Linked DNA regions of Nothobranchius furzeri. The main gene of each other region encodes a partner of the protein of the gene in region 3 in a complex. Links are inferred from orthologs where the notes say so. Each region holds a gene or a part of one and is shown on either strand. Other genes may lie near its edges.

Evidence for each region. The genes of interacting proteins can lie anywhere in the genome.
Region 1: the proteins of ncapg (region 3) and ncaph are in contact, whole or in part, in a crystal structure (PDB 6IGX), measured with the Homo sapiens proteins. The link is inferred for Nothobranchius furzeri from reciprocal best matches to the Homo sapiens genes NCAPG and NCAPH. Residues at the interface, in NP_071741.2 of Homo sapiens: Lys11, Phe14, Arg15, Gln18, His50, Tyr51, Lys53, Tyr54, Val55, Met56, Val57, Glu62, Ala64, Val65, Val68, Phe102, Ser106, Glu108, Ala109, Asn110, Ser111, Val114, Arg115, Ile149, Arg150, Lys152, Asp153, Lys154, Arg159, Glu188; in NP_056156.2 of Homo sapiens: Glu471, Ile472, Asp473, Phe474, Glu475, Asp476, Asp477, Ile478, Phe480, Val482, Tyr483, Phe484, Arg485, Lys486, Thr487, Ala489, Ala490, Thr491, Ile492, Leu493, Gln501, Asn502, Trp503, Ala505, Thr506, Thr507, Leu508, Phe512, Tyr514, Val516.
Region 2: ncapg (region 3) and smc4 share a complex: the UniProt entries of both Homo sapiens proteins name them as parts of the condensin complex. The link is inferred for Nothobranchius furzeri from reciprocal best matches to the Homo sapiens genes NCAPG and SMC4.

Annotation. Positions count from the first base shown.
Region 1 is NC_091757.1:27,682,822-27,686,765, forward strand, and holds the start of ncaph (condensin complex subunit 2), read left to right. Parts: upstream 1-1,144; 5' UTR 1,145-1,215; intron 1,216-1,294; exon of another isoform or gene 1,295-1,436; 5' UTR 1,437-1,568; intron 1,569-2,270; exon of another isoform or gene 2,271-2,431; intron 2,432-3,125; 5' UTR 3,126-3,130; coding exon 3,131-3,348; intron 3,349-3,944. UniProt on the Homo sapiens protein: Regulatory subunit of the condensin complex, a complex required for conversion of interphase chromatin into mitotic-like condense chromosomes.
Region 2 is NC_091753.1:52,603,087-52,607,284, forward strand, and holds the start of smc4 (structural maintenance of chromosomes protein 4), read left to right. Parts: upstream 1-1,398; 5' UTR 1,399-1,538; intron 1,539-2,403; exon of another isoform or gene 2,404-2,599; 5' UTR 2,600-2,609; coding exon 2,610-2,754; intron 2,755-2,954; exon of another isoform or gene 2,955-2,981; intron 2,982-3,705; coding exon 3,706-3,896; intron 3,897-4,198. Other genes in the region: ift80 (intraflagellar transport protein 80 homolog), read right to left, coding at 414-453. UniProt on the Homo sapiens protein: Central component of the condensin complex, a complex required for conversion of interphase chromatin into mitotic-like condense chromosomes.
Region 3 is NC_091746.1:76,936,186-76,939,685, forward strand, and holds part of ncapg (condensin complex subunit 3), read right to left. Parts: intron 3,413-3,500; coding exon 3,323-3,412; intron 2,842-3,322; coding exon 2,653-2,841; intron 2,565-2,652; coding exon 2,454-2,564; intron 767-2,453; coding exon 647-766; intron 464-646; coding exon 230-463; intron 1-229. UniProt on the Homo sapiens protein: Regulatory subunit of the condensin complex, a complex required for conversion of interphase chromatin into mitotic-like condense chromosomes.

The sequences.
Region 1 (3,944 bases), on a different chromosome or scaffold from region 3:
GTTTTCGGAGACGAAGGGCTCCGGTGATTCAAGCAACCCTGCCCCATTGCATGGAGAGGCTGCTTGAGGGGGTGCGGTTGGAAGAGGATCGGGAGGACGTATCCCTGAGAAGGTCGAGGGACCTGGAGCTGTGGAGCAACGCGTGGTTCGTCAGAGGAGACCCCCTGTTCGGTATAAGGATTATCAGGTGGAAATCTAGGACTCGAGGGCGAGTCCTTCAGGACAAAGAGGGGGAGAGTGTGATGGACAGAAGACGGAAGCTGCCGAGCTCCGAGGGTGTGGTGATTGGACACCAGCTGGTCCTCGTTATGGATAACGAGGCCAGGGAGGATAAAAGGGTGACAGACCTACTGAGAGGTGTGCGTGGTCGACCTGTCATTGTGGCATCGGACTTTGGGGGGTGGGGTCGTTCGCAGCCGGGTAGGGCTGCCGGTGACGAAGATAGCTGAACAGGTGTTTGGAGTTCCAGCGCCAGGAGGGAAGGCTGGTCGCCTTCTTTAGACAGTTAGGGCTGGGCATAGGTGATGCCAAGGCCGCGCCGACATCTGCCGCTACGGACTCTGGCAGTGGACTTATGTTGTGGATTTACCCGCCGTCCTCGCAAGCTACACCCCGGGGCGTTGGACGGCGTTGGAAGCTCAGACCCCGGGGACGGGGGTCACACCATCCATGACAGCTAAGTACCGCTGCTTATGTGACTCATGCTGGACAGTTGGTTTTAGAAGAGAGGGCTTGGGCCATGGTGTTTTATCGTTGTGTTTTATTATTGATTGTGCAATAAAGTGTGTCTTTTATAAGCCGTTGCCTACTGGTGGTGTGTTCAGGTTCTGACCGGAGGGCAAGATGTTCTGCCCGTGCTGCCCACGGCTACTTTTATTACAATATTTTGGGATGACATCAGCTGCCACTGAGGAACAGCCATCTACCTCCACTGCTCGTACCAGTAGGCCAGTATTTGAACTTGAGGAGGGACAGTCTGCTGGCACCACATCTCCCCAGGAAGATACTTTAGGTGGGTTTTGCACATGTGTGTGTGTGTCCAGCAAACATTTAGCTATAAACATTTAAATAGTATTTTCACAGAATATGGGAATTGTTCCATATAGCAATGTGGTGAGTTATGCTTCCATTTTCTGTCAATAGAGAGACCTACCAGTACATGTGAACTTGATGAGGGACAGCCAGCTGCCACGTCTCCCCAACAAGATATGTCAGGTAAGTTTTGCACAAGTGTGTGTGTGTGTGTGTGTGTGTGTGTGTGTGTGTGTGTGTGTGTGTGTGTGTGTGTGTGTGTGTGTGTGTGTGTGTGTGTGTGTGTGTGTGTGTGTCCTGCAAACATTAGAGAAATTTGAATGTCACATATTGTATTTTAATAGAATATGTGAAATGGTCCACATAGCAATGTGTTGAGTTACGCTTCTGTTTTCTGTCAATAGAGAAGCCTGAACGATCAACCAATGGGTCCCATTGAAGGTGATGATGAGCCTCTTTCTTCAGACCCAGCCAAGTGGCCATCACCAATTACCGACAGCATACGCACAGAGCTAGTTCGAAGAGGACCTACCAAGGTGCCAACTACTTTCATATTTCCCAGGAGTGAAGGCGATGGCAGGTGTTGTCATCATCACTATTTCAGTAGAACTTTGACAAGTGGTGAGAAGGTGGCCAGGAGCTGGATGTTGTATTCAGTTAGCAAACGTTGTTACATATAATACACTCCACGCAATTTGAAACAAAGTTGTAGGTGTAATTTTTTTTCTTGTGTGTGTGTGTAGGGGGGGGGGGGGGGCGTCACGGGGGATCTCGCACAGGGCGCCATTTAGGCCAGCTCCGCCTCTGATGAGAGGGGCGCTGTTTGTTAACAGAAATACCGTCACGACCCAGCAATTTTTGAAAACAAAAACCTGGCATTCCCCCAGCCAGCTCAAAAGGACATCTTGTCATTGTAACATTGCCTGTGATAGACACATTGGACTGTTTTGTGATGATTTTACTGTCCAATTCTTACATAGTTCACAAAATAAATTAACGTACATTAAAATATAAAATCCTATCAGATAGGCCAGAGAAGTCACTAGTAAACCCAAGTGGTCTTTTTTTTTTAACAGTACACGGTCATAGTTGCCCACTCTGGGCAACTTTAAGGAGTGAAGAGACCCATCCAATATGGCGGCGACGTTGTTTCTCACTCCAGCCATATGTCTTCAGCGCCCAATGAGCGTCTACGTATTCATGTCTATGGTGGGCGCGGCGTCACGTAATGGCGTCTGGTGTGTTACGTAAACCGTCCGGCGCAAAAATTCAAACTTTACAGGAAGAAAGAGTGCACTTTGTTGCGTTAAGAACAACTAAAATAGTTTAAAGCAGCATCGCACTTTAATAACGACTTCGTCTGAATTGGGATAGTTTGAAGGTTCGTGCAGCGGTCCGGGTGGGTACTTTAGTAAACTTTTATCGTATCTTAACCCTCTGGAGGCAGGCGTTGCAGATTTGCAACGTTAAAACCTACCTACCTGGTTACTTCCCAAACTTATTTCATGAGCATGTTTTAACTCAGAAGTACCCCTGAAGGACTTAGTTGTTCGTCCTTTTATCAAAACTTATTTTGAGCCTGAGAGGGTTAATGAGACTTGTAGCAAACGTTGTTATGCTAACGGCTGTTGAATGTTAGCATAAGGCTAGCAGTGTTTAGCATACAATAAACGTATTTTTGTTGTTTAGGATTAATAGTGCCTATTAACACTGAAGTAAAAACGTGTATAGTCATCAACGAGGAACGATTTTTTTTTTACAAAATTGCATTGGGTAATCTAGATCTAATGTTAAAGTGAAAAGTTTACTGGGGAGTGCTTCATTTAGCACCAAGGCTAGCTCTTTGTTAAAGGGTTTATCTGTTCGCACACCTGTGTCTACATGTGAAAAATCACTGGTGGACCAGAATCGGGTTGTTTCATATTCCCGTCTAATAGTTCTTGTGTCCAAACACTGTCACAGGTTTGATTTATCTTTCCAATCTTCCTGGTGAAAGCTAAACAAAAGTGTAAACTAACTTAAATGTTTTAAACAACTCCTGGAAGCCAAATGTCTCTAAACACAGTTATAAAAACTTTTTTCTTTTTGTGCAGCCAAAATGAGTGCAACCTCCACCCCCATCTCCCGGGTTCACCCCGGACGGGCTCTGTCCAATCTGAAGAACAAGGGTCAGTCTCCTGTAGCCTGCAGCACCCCACTGATGGCAGCCTTTCCTGGGAATGATGATGAGCAGGAGCGGCGTCAGCGCAGGAGATCAAGGGTCATTGACCTTCAAACTGCTGGTGAATCCTCTTTTACAGACTCTGCTTCTCACAGGTGAGGTGTTATGTTAGAGGTGCAGTGAACTCATCTAGGGCTGCAACAAACGATTATTTGGATAATCGATTAATCGGATGGGGTCTCGACACGATTAATCGGATCACATGGGGAAATTTTTTAAAACTGCTAGGGAAACGTTATTTCTCTCCTTCCTTCACTTTATTTAACACAACATTATTAGAAAACAGTTCAATAGCAGAAAAACAACATGCCATCACCTAAATTGTCTTATAAGGTGTATAGACAGAGACCCTAAGCTACATCTATCTGTGACCTAAAATGCTTGGTCCAAGTTAAACAGCTTAAGGGCAATTCTCATCTGTTTTGTTTGATCTCATCTGTTAATATTTATTTTAAATGTAATTAAACATAGGCTGTGAATTAATCAAAATTGATCACTATTTCCAAAACTGACTGAAAAAATACCAAATAAAACAAAAGTAAATGAATGCCATCCTCCTTGCGATGATGCCCTGGGCAACTGCCATAAAGTCACATCAAGAAATGCTGCTGATCATTCCAATGATCCCAAATAGACTCACATTAGGCCACATGAAAGCAACTGAACCCAAAAATATATTAACCAGTATATA
Region 2 (4,198 bases), on a different chromosome or scaffold from region 3:
ACAGAGACGAGAACAAGAATATATCCTGGTGTGAAACATATAAATGTTCATCTTTCTATCATATTGTTTATTTAACAATCTAGCTTTGCAACTATTTTAAGCGCTACCTCGCAAACAAAAAACTTCTCTTACAATATGTTGCTTTATGAATAAGAGGGTAACTGATGTAAAAAGGGTAAAAATTGTAAATGAACACTTTTCAGTTTTTCCTTGATTACTCGTGTTTGCAACTGGAATATGTTTAACATCTTTGTTCTGGTACTTTTAAAATAAAAAAAACGATTTTATTGGGTTATGTGTTCATTGGGGCTGACAAAGGTAAGGAATTCTGACAATATGTGATGTAATTAATGCAAGTTTGAGCTGGATTAAAAAAACGGACATAGCTAAAGCTAATATCAACATACAAAGGATATGTTTGGGTTCCTTTAGCAGCGATGTTTTCAGTCTCATTGTAGGAATTTGCTCTCCTAAACGAATAAAAACAATGCCAGACAACACATGTTATTCAAATGCGGCATACATGAAATAAATAATTCAAAACAACACATAAAAACAACATTAAGCGTACGCATCATAAACATACCCCGTTGATGCGGTAAAACGTTCCTTTAATGGAGGAAAACCCTGGGTGTTCTGCAGTTGCTAAGGTGGCTGGCACCGTTGCTAATGTGAATCCTCGGTAGGACTCGTGCCAGTAACTTGTGTGCTAACGATCCTCTTGAGAGCCACCGACATCATACTGCAGTTAACGAGTTTATCCGTAGCGAACCTGCGAGGCATACGTGTCGTATAATACGGTTCAATTAAACAGCAACGTAAAAATCAGCCATAAACAGCACCAGGCACTAATTTGTCATAACGTAAGGCTAACTTTTTGGTAGCCATTTGAGAGGACGTTTAAAACGGTAGTTATCGCGAGATTTACAAATATCTTCCCGAGAAAACAAATTCGAAAATGCTTGTAAATTTAAATAAGATCCCGTTAATACCATCCACATAAATATACGGTTAATACATGCCACGTTTTAATCAAATCAGACGTTGCACGTATTGTAATAAACGTAATGGGCATTTTTTTAACTAAACGAATTCTTAAAAGGCGGAACTCACTTCTACTGTAACTGTAAACATAAAGAACAAGATTAAAGTTTTTATTTGCAACAAAACGTCATTTAAAATTGTGTATCTTAAACTCCAGAACAACGACTCTTTATTCTCTCCGTTTTCTTTTTATGAATACTGTAGATGTGGAGAGGCGGAGTTGGCTTCGTCCCCTTTTTTGAATTTCGAGTTTTTTCCCTGCCCTTTGAACGGTCCATGGTGCCTTGCGTCAGTTTGTAACGAATTTGGTTTGACGGCGCAGTTTAGGCGCCATTTACAAGTTAGAATTTTCAACCAGGAAACCGACTCGGAATGTTACAGGGCTGAATTTTATGGATTATATTCGCCGAAGTTCGGATTTCCTGGAATTTTTTAGAGCAACGACCTGGGAAAGAAAGGAGGACTTTTCACGGACCGCGTCGATATTGTGGAAGGTACCAGGAGATATCTTAGCGAGGAAGATCGACTGGGTGCCGTCTATTTGCTGAAACGCGTAGCGTTAGTTTCAAACTAAAAGTACCACTGACGATGTGGAACTGCATTTTAACTGAAGAAACCCCGAAAAATAATACAAATAGACTTGTGTTGTCTATCAGCTGCGAATTAGGACTTCATAAGATTTGTTATATATTACATTCGATCTAGATTGTTTGCCAAATCTAATAGCAGTGTAACGTGGACCGTTTCTATTTTCAAGCTAGTTTTTGTCCTTTTGATCAAAGTTAACGTGACTTTGGTTGAGTTAATGCTGTTGCTCCCCGACCTACATTGCCAGGGTTATCTATTATGTTGCTTGTGTTAGTTTGTTTCGTGTTTTTTAAGGTTAAATTGATGCGGTGGTTATTTTATGCATTTGAACGCGCTTATCCAGTGAGTTTAGGTTGCTCAGTTATACCTCCGCCCCCAACAGAAGAGCTCCCAGGATGGAAACTTAATGTTACTGTCAGATTGAGACCTCGGCTAGAGCCCTTCTGCTGCGTGGCTATGCAACATGGGACAAGACAAAGCGCTAAGGATAGAGAAATCGTCTCATTTGCATATTAACTGTATTTTGTTTTCAAGATATTAATCTTATTTTCACGTTTTCCGACCAAAACGAAGCGTGCCGCTTATAAATGACTAAGATGGTCACAAACAAACAAAAAGTTCAGCTAAGAAATTAGCTTGTTTTGTTATTTTAGTTAGTTTTATGATCACAAAAGCATCAAAATTATGAAGTAGATCAGCTGAGCAGTTTTCAGCTTAATTTTCTTAAATCACGTCATTCTAATCGCGAGATCGTACCGTAACTCAGTTAGACTTATTTGTTGTTTTAGCTGATTTTAGCGTACGCTAAAATGTGTACCGAGTGGGAACTGAAGGAGCGGCAGTGAGATGTGCTTGTGGCAAAAAGATAAAACCTGACTTCAGTAGCTGCGACTATACGCGGAGTTTAGAGATTGACAGGCACAGAAACCACTCATGGATATTCTTTTTTCACCAATGACCCCTTCAGATTTCAAATCATGCCATCTAAAACTCAAAAGAGCTCAACTGCCTCCACCAAGACAAGGAGAGGGTTGCAGCCTCGAGATGACTCGGAGGACGAGCTGGATGTACCCCCTCTACAAACCAACTCAAATGGCCAAGAGGAGGCACCGCCGACAACTGGCAAGTAACAAAAGGCTGTTTTGGCGTCTGTGAATCTAAATAAGCTGTGCTGTGTTGATAGAGGCCAAATGGCTCAGCTGTAGCGTTTTTCCTTCCACAAATTCGAGCACGTAGTTAGAATGGCTCTTAGTGGGGTTTTTCCTAAAGTGCCACTCATCAATAAATTCATTTTCAAGATTATTTTAACAACGAATGTGCTCCTTCCACGAATGTCTTTGGAAAACAAGGTAATTCATTTCGATTAAAAGAGTATTTCGTGTTGTAAATCAAAACTAATTGTTTTAATGCGTATAACGTGATGTTTATGAATTTTATGATAATCTTAATATTCACACGGGCCCTATTAAGTTAATCAGAATGTGTAGAAAAGCTTTACTGGGCTTCGTTTGCTGTCGGAATTTGATTCCTAAACATCACTTGATTCGCGTGTTTATGCTTGTGAGCACAATAGATTATTGGACAGGTCGCTGTAGCTTGGTGCGATGGCAGCACGATCGGGTGGACGTTATGGGCTCATCACCACGAACAAGATGCTTCTCCCCTCAGGGTTTTGGCTGCAGCGAATGAAAACCTGTCGTTTATCACCAAAATAAAATCCACTTTAGCGATTTTTCTCATCGACGGAGTGACGCATCCGCGCTTGTGCGGGAGAGCGTTTGCGTTATCGTGCGGGATCCTTCTGACGTGCTGCTCTGCTTCGCTCCTGTCCGTCACAACAAAGGGAAATAACGCCCGGCAACTTTTCTCCGGGCTCGTTGTTTGACTGCGACTTGCTGCTTATGTTTTTGTTTGTTTGTTTTTGTGTGAGTGCGCGCGTGCTTGTGTGTGTGTGTGTGTGAGTGAGTGAGTGCGCGCTCCTCTACCCCTCCCCCATGCACCACAGACGGCCCCGCCTCCACCTGAAACGACTCGCTCAGGAGATTAAAAGTTGTACTTTTTTGTGTGCCACAGATCCGTGTCAGGAGGAGGCTGCCGAGGCGGTTGATACCCGGAGTTTGGATGAGATTCTCGGTAGCATCCCTCCACCCCCGCCCCCTGCGATGACCAATGAACCGGGCGCCCAGCGCCTGATGATCACGCATCTAGTTAATCGTAATTTTAAATCGTACGCAGGCGAGCAGATCCTTGGGCCTTTTCATAAGGTATTCTCAAATGGATGTAAATGAAACATTTGGCTGAGAAACACCTTATTAAATCTGTTCTGCTGATATTAGATGCACCCTAACCGGATGTTACAGTATTTCATTTTATTTGTTTTAATTTCTTATTATTCTTCTGCAGGTATCTTACCATCAGTTGTAGAATACACAACACAAGATAACATTTTTTTGCAAGTTTTAACTTGATAAAATCTAGATAAAAATCACAATTCTCCATTATGATTTAATCTGGCATCCTATAGTGATTTATCACTGCACCCACTATTCTATTTAATTAAAAAAAA
Region 3 (3,500 bases):
GCGGGCGTGTTGGCCCGGACCACCAGAGGATAATAGGCTGAAAAACCGCCTGGTAGGCCACCCAGGGATGAACTCAATATATGCAATGTGGATGTGAAGCCCCTAGTAGACAGTTCCAGATATCTCAATTTAACCTGAGGCTGGACTGAGACCCCACACCCCCTCCCCGTGTATCAAAATTCCTTTTTTTTTTTATACAGTTCAGAAACACAAACATGATCAGCCTCACCTCACTGTCCAGGAACTCTGAAAGCATCACCAGAATACTCTGGGCGGTATCTTCTGGGACATCTCCCTTGTCCTCAGCCGCTGCGTCGTCCTCCTGCCTCTCAGGTGATTGGTTGGGTTGGGCTGTCGGACTGGAAGCAGTTTCTGAGAGCAGCTGGAAGCCAAACAGCAGCAGCAGGTCGATGATGGACCGCAGAGCGCTGATGCGGATCTTTACCTCATCCAGCTGGGCAATCTGGACAAACAACCACAGAGTTTACCACCGACACTACAAGCCTCTAGCCACAACTACCGCATCACCCATGATGTACCGTGTGTTAACAGGTGAAACAAGTATAATAGCATAATCCAGGCCAATAACTTCTGTACACACACACGCGAGCATTAGTGTATGATATGGCTGGTTGTGTGAACCCACCTGCAGCAGAAGAACCATGTGAGTTTTGGCCAGCTCCTTACTGTGAAGAGTACATGTTCCCAAGCACACCACAGCCATGTTGCGGACGGCAGGATAAGGATTAGCTATGCTCGGCAGAATCTAACAAAAAGAGAGACACTTTAAGTTTAGTTTTGATTCAATTTAAACACGTTGTTGATTTGGTATTAATGTCTAAAGTCTGATCCAAATTAAAACACCAATGTAAATAAAGGATGAGAAACATTTGTCAACACAGACGTTGTTGAAGTTGAATTTTTAATGAAGTTTTCAAGCTAAAAACACTTTTCTAGCTGATGTTTTTCAGCTTTCTGCTGCTTCGTAGGTAAGGATGTTCCGATTCAACGTTTTCACTTCCGATACGATACCGATATTGCCGCCTTCAGCATTGACCGATACAGATATCAATCCGATACGATATCAGTACAATCATACATACTTTTACTTATTTTGTAGGGATGCAACGATACCACTTTTTTTCCTAACCGATACGATACAGATACTTGGATCTGAGTGCTCGTCGATACCGATACAGATACTTCTACCACACAAAAAAATGCAATGAATTGGAATACAGGTTTTATTTTCTTCTGTTTTCAATAGGAAAAGACTGTGAGGTAGATAAAAAGTAATATAAGTGATCACAAAACTAAAATATTAGGTGAACAGAAATGACAACTTACAGTGAAGTCACTTTCAAGCAACTGCATTGGTATCAGTTACTGGTATCTGTTAACTTTTACCGATGCCGATACCGGTATCAGTATCTGTATCGGCACCGATACCAATACCAGTATTGTATCGGTGCATCCCTGTTATTTTGTAGTGTGGAATGTATGAAAGGCTTGATCAAGTGATATTACTCAATCGGAGAACAAGAGCAGATAACAGTAAGTATGAAAAAAATTACAATATATATATTTTTTTTAACCATTGGTTGTAAAATGTGAACCTTAGCTTTTATCTGAGATTTTTGAAGCAGTCCAATATAATCTGATACAGTGTTTTTGGGCCGATATCAAATTACTTCCGTTATCGATATCGGAACGTGACATCCCTAGTTGTAGGCATCGATATCAGATCTTGTTCTGAGTTTAGAGGAGCCTGTGATGGTTAAAGCAGGGTTAGACTTTAGCATCAGTGAACATTTGCTGGAAAGGTCTGTTATCAAAGGAGAGGTCAAACCAATGCCCATCATCGATTTGAGGTCGTATTGGATGACTTCAGTGATTATTGCCATTTTCCTCTTTGCCTCCATCTGACCACTTTTATGTTTTTATTTTATGTCTGCAGTGATCGCTCTGCGGCTCAACACCTCACTGCTGCAACAACTTGGTGCTGCTCAAAAGCAACAAAACTATTTTTTGTGCCTCTACCTCACTCACCTTGATTTCAATCAGTGAAACCAAATTTCCTAGACCACTCTGTTGCCATGGCAGTGAAATGCCACCGATCATCCGGTTTATTTATATGCAGAGTATTAAGTGCTTTGCACTCGCCGTTTATGGCAGAAAGTTCGTGTGTTGAGGTAGGGGTGTGATTTTAAAGTGATTTATAGAGCAGAAACTGCGTGCAGCTGTGTGTAAGCAGTGTTTTATAGGTCGGAAAATGATTTTGCTATATGCATAGATACAGAATTTTTGTAAGGATTCTATACAGTCTTAATAATGAGGCCCCCGCTCATAACTCAGATGTGAACTTGTGGCCATTTTAAATGTGAGTTACTTCTTTTTCTCTAGACGTCCTACATAAAGCGTTAACAAAATTAGCAAAAATTCAACTTTTATACCAGCGAGGACATCAAGGCACTGATGGTTGGACCGATCGGAGTCTTGATGTTCATCTTCTTCAGCAACTCCGCACACATGGTCAGACACCTCAGAAGAGTCTCTGGGTCATTCTGGAAAAAACAATTAATGACAAGAATTCATTTAGCCGCTAGCAGCAAATTATATTACAAAGGCGGAGCTTCCCGTGTCGCTATGTACCTTCTCGGTTCGGACCTCCTTGATGACCGGCTGGTTGCTCTCAGAGATTTCCTGCAGGATTTGGTTCCTGCTGTCCTCAAGTTTGGTGATGGATTCTTTCAGTTCTGCTGCTTGACTGAAGTCCTGGGCAGCGATGCAGTTCTCTAAAGCTTCTTTAGCCTCCATGATGCGGACCTTCACCTCCGCTAACTGGATAGAAATCAAAAAAGGTGAAATAGAGACAAAAGAAGAGTTGGTCTTTTATTGGATAATGCTGGACCAGATTAAACGCTGAGACAGGAATCTGTGACTACAGCAGCCGAGACCCTGGAGACTCGCTTGTGGGTTTTGGACTCACATGGATTTAAACACCTGTGCAAAAGACCAACTTGTTTAGTAGTTACAGCCTCCCAAATCACTGCAGCTGTCTATGAAATCCAAAACTTATAATCTACAAGTTAAAAACCTCCTCTCAACTAGTTGGAATGTGCGCCATCTACAAATATAAAGCATTAGGCTGGAGGAAGAGCAAAATCACTGAAATTTTGTAGATAGAAGGAAATATAACTAATGGAGAGATTAGAAGGAGCAAAACGAAGTCTCAGCTAAAAATTAAGTAAAATAAATAAGATATTGTATCCAGATCTTTTTCTGGATGCTTGAGGAGATCACGTTGTCCAGCGTTACCCACCTGGACCTGCTGTCGGCGGCTCTTGTTCTCATCCACTGGCTGGCTGACCTCCGTGATGGGCTCCATCACATCTGAAATTATCTCTGCCACCTGTTGACAACATGTGCCTCTGTGAAAAACTGGGAGTTGTGTGTTTTCTGACATTTCTACCCTATTAGCAGAGTCCATGAAAATGGAA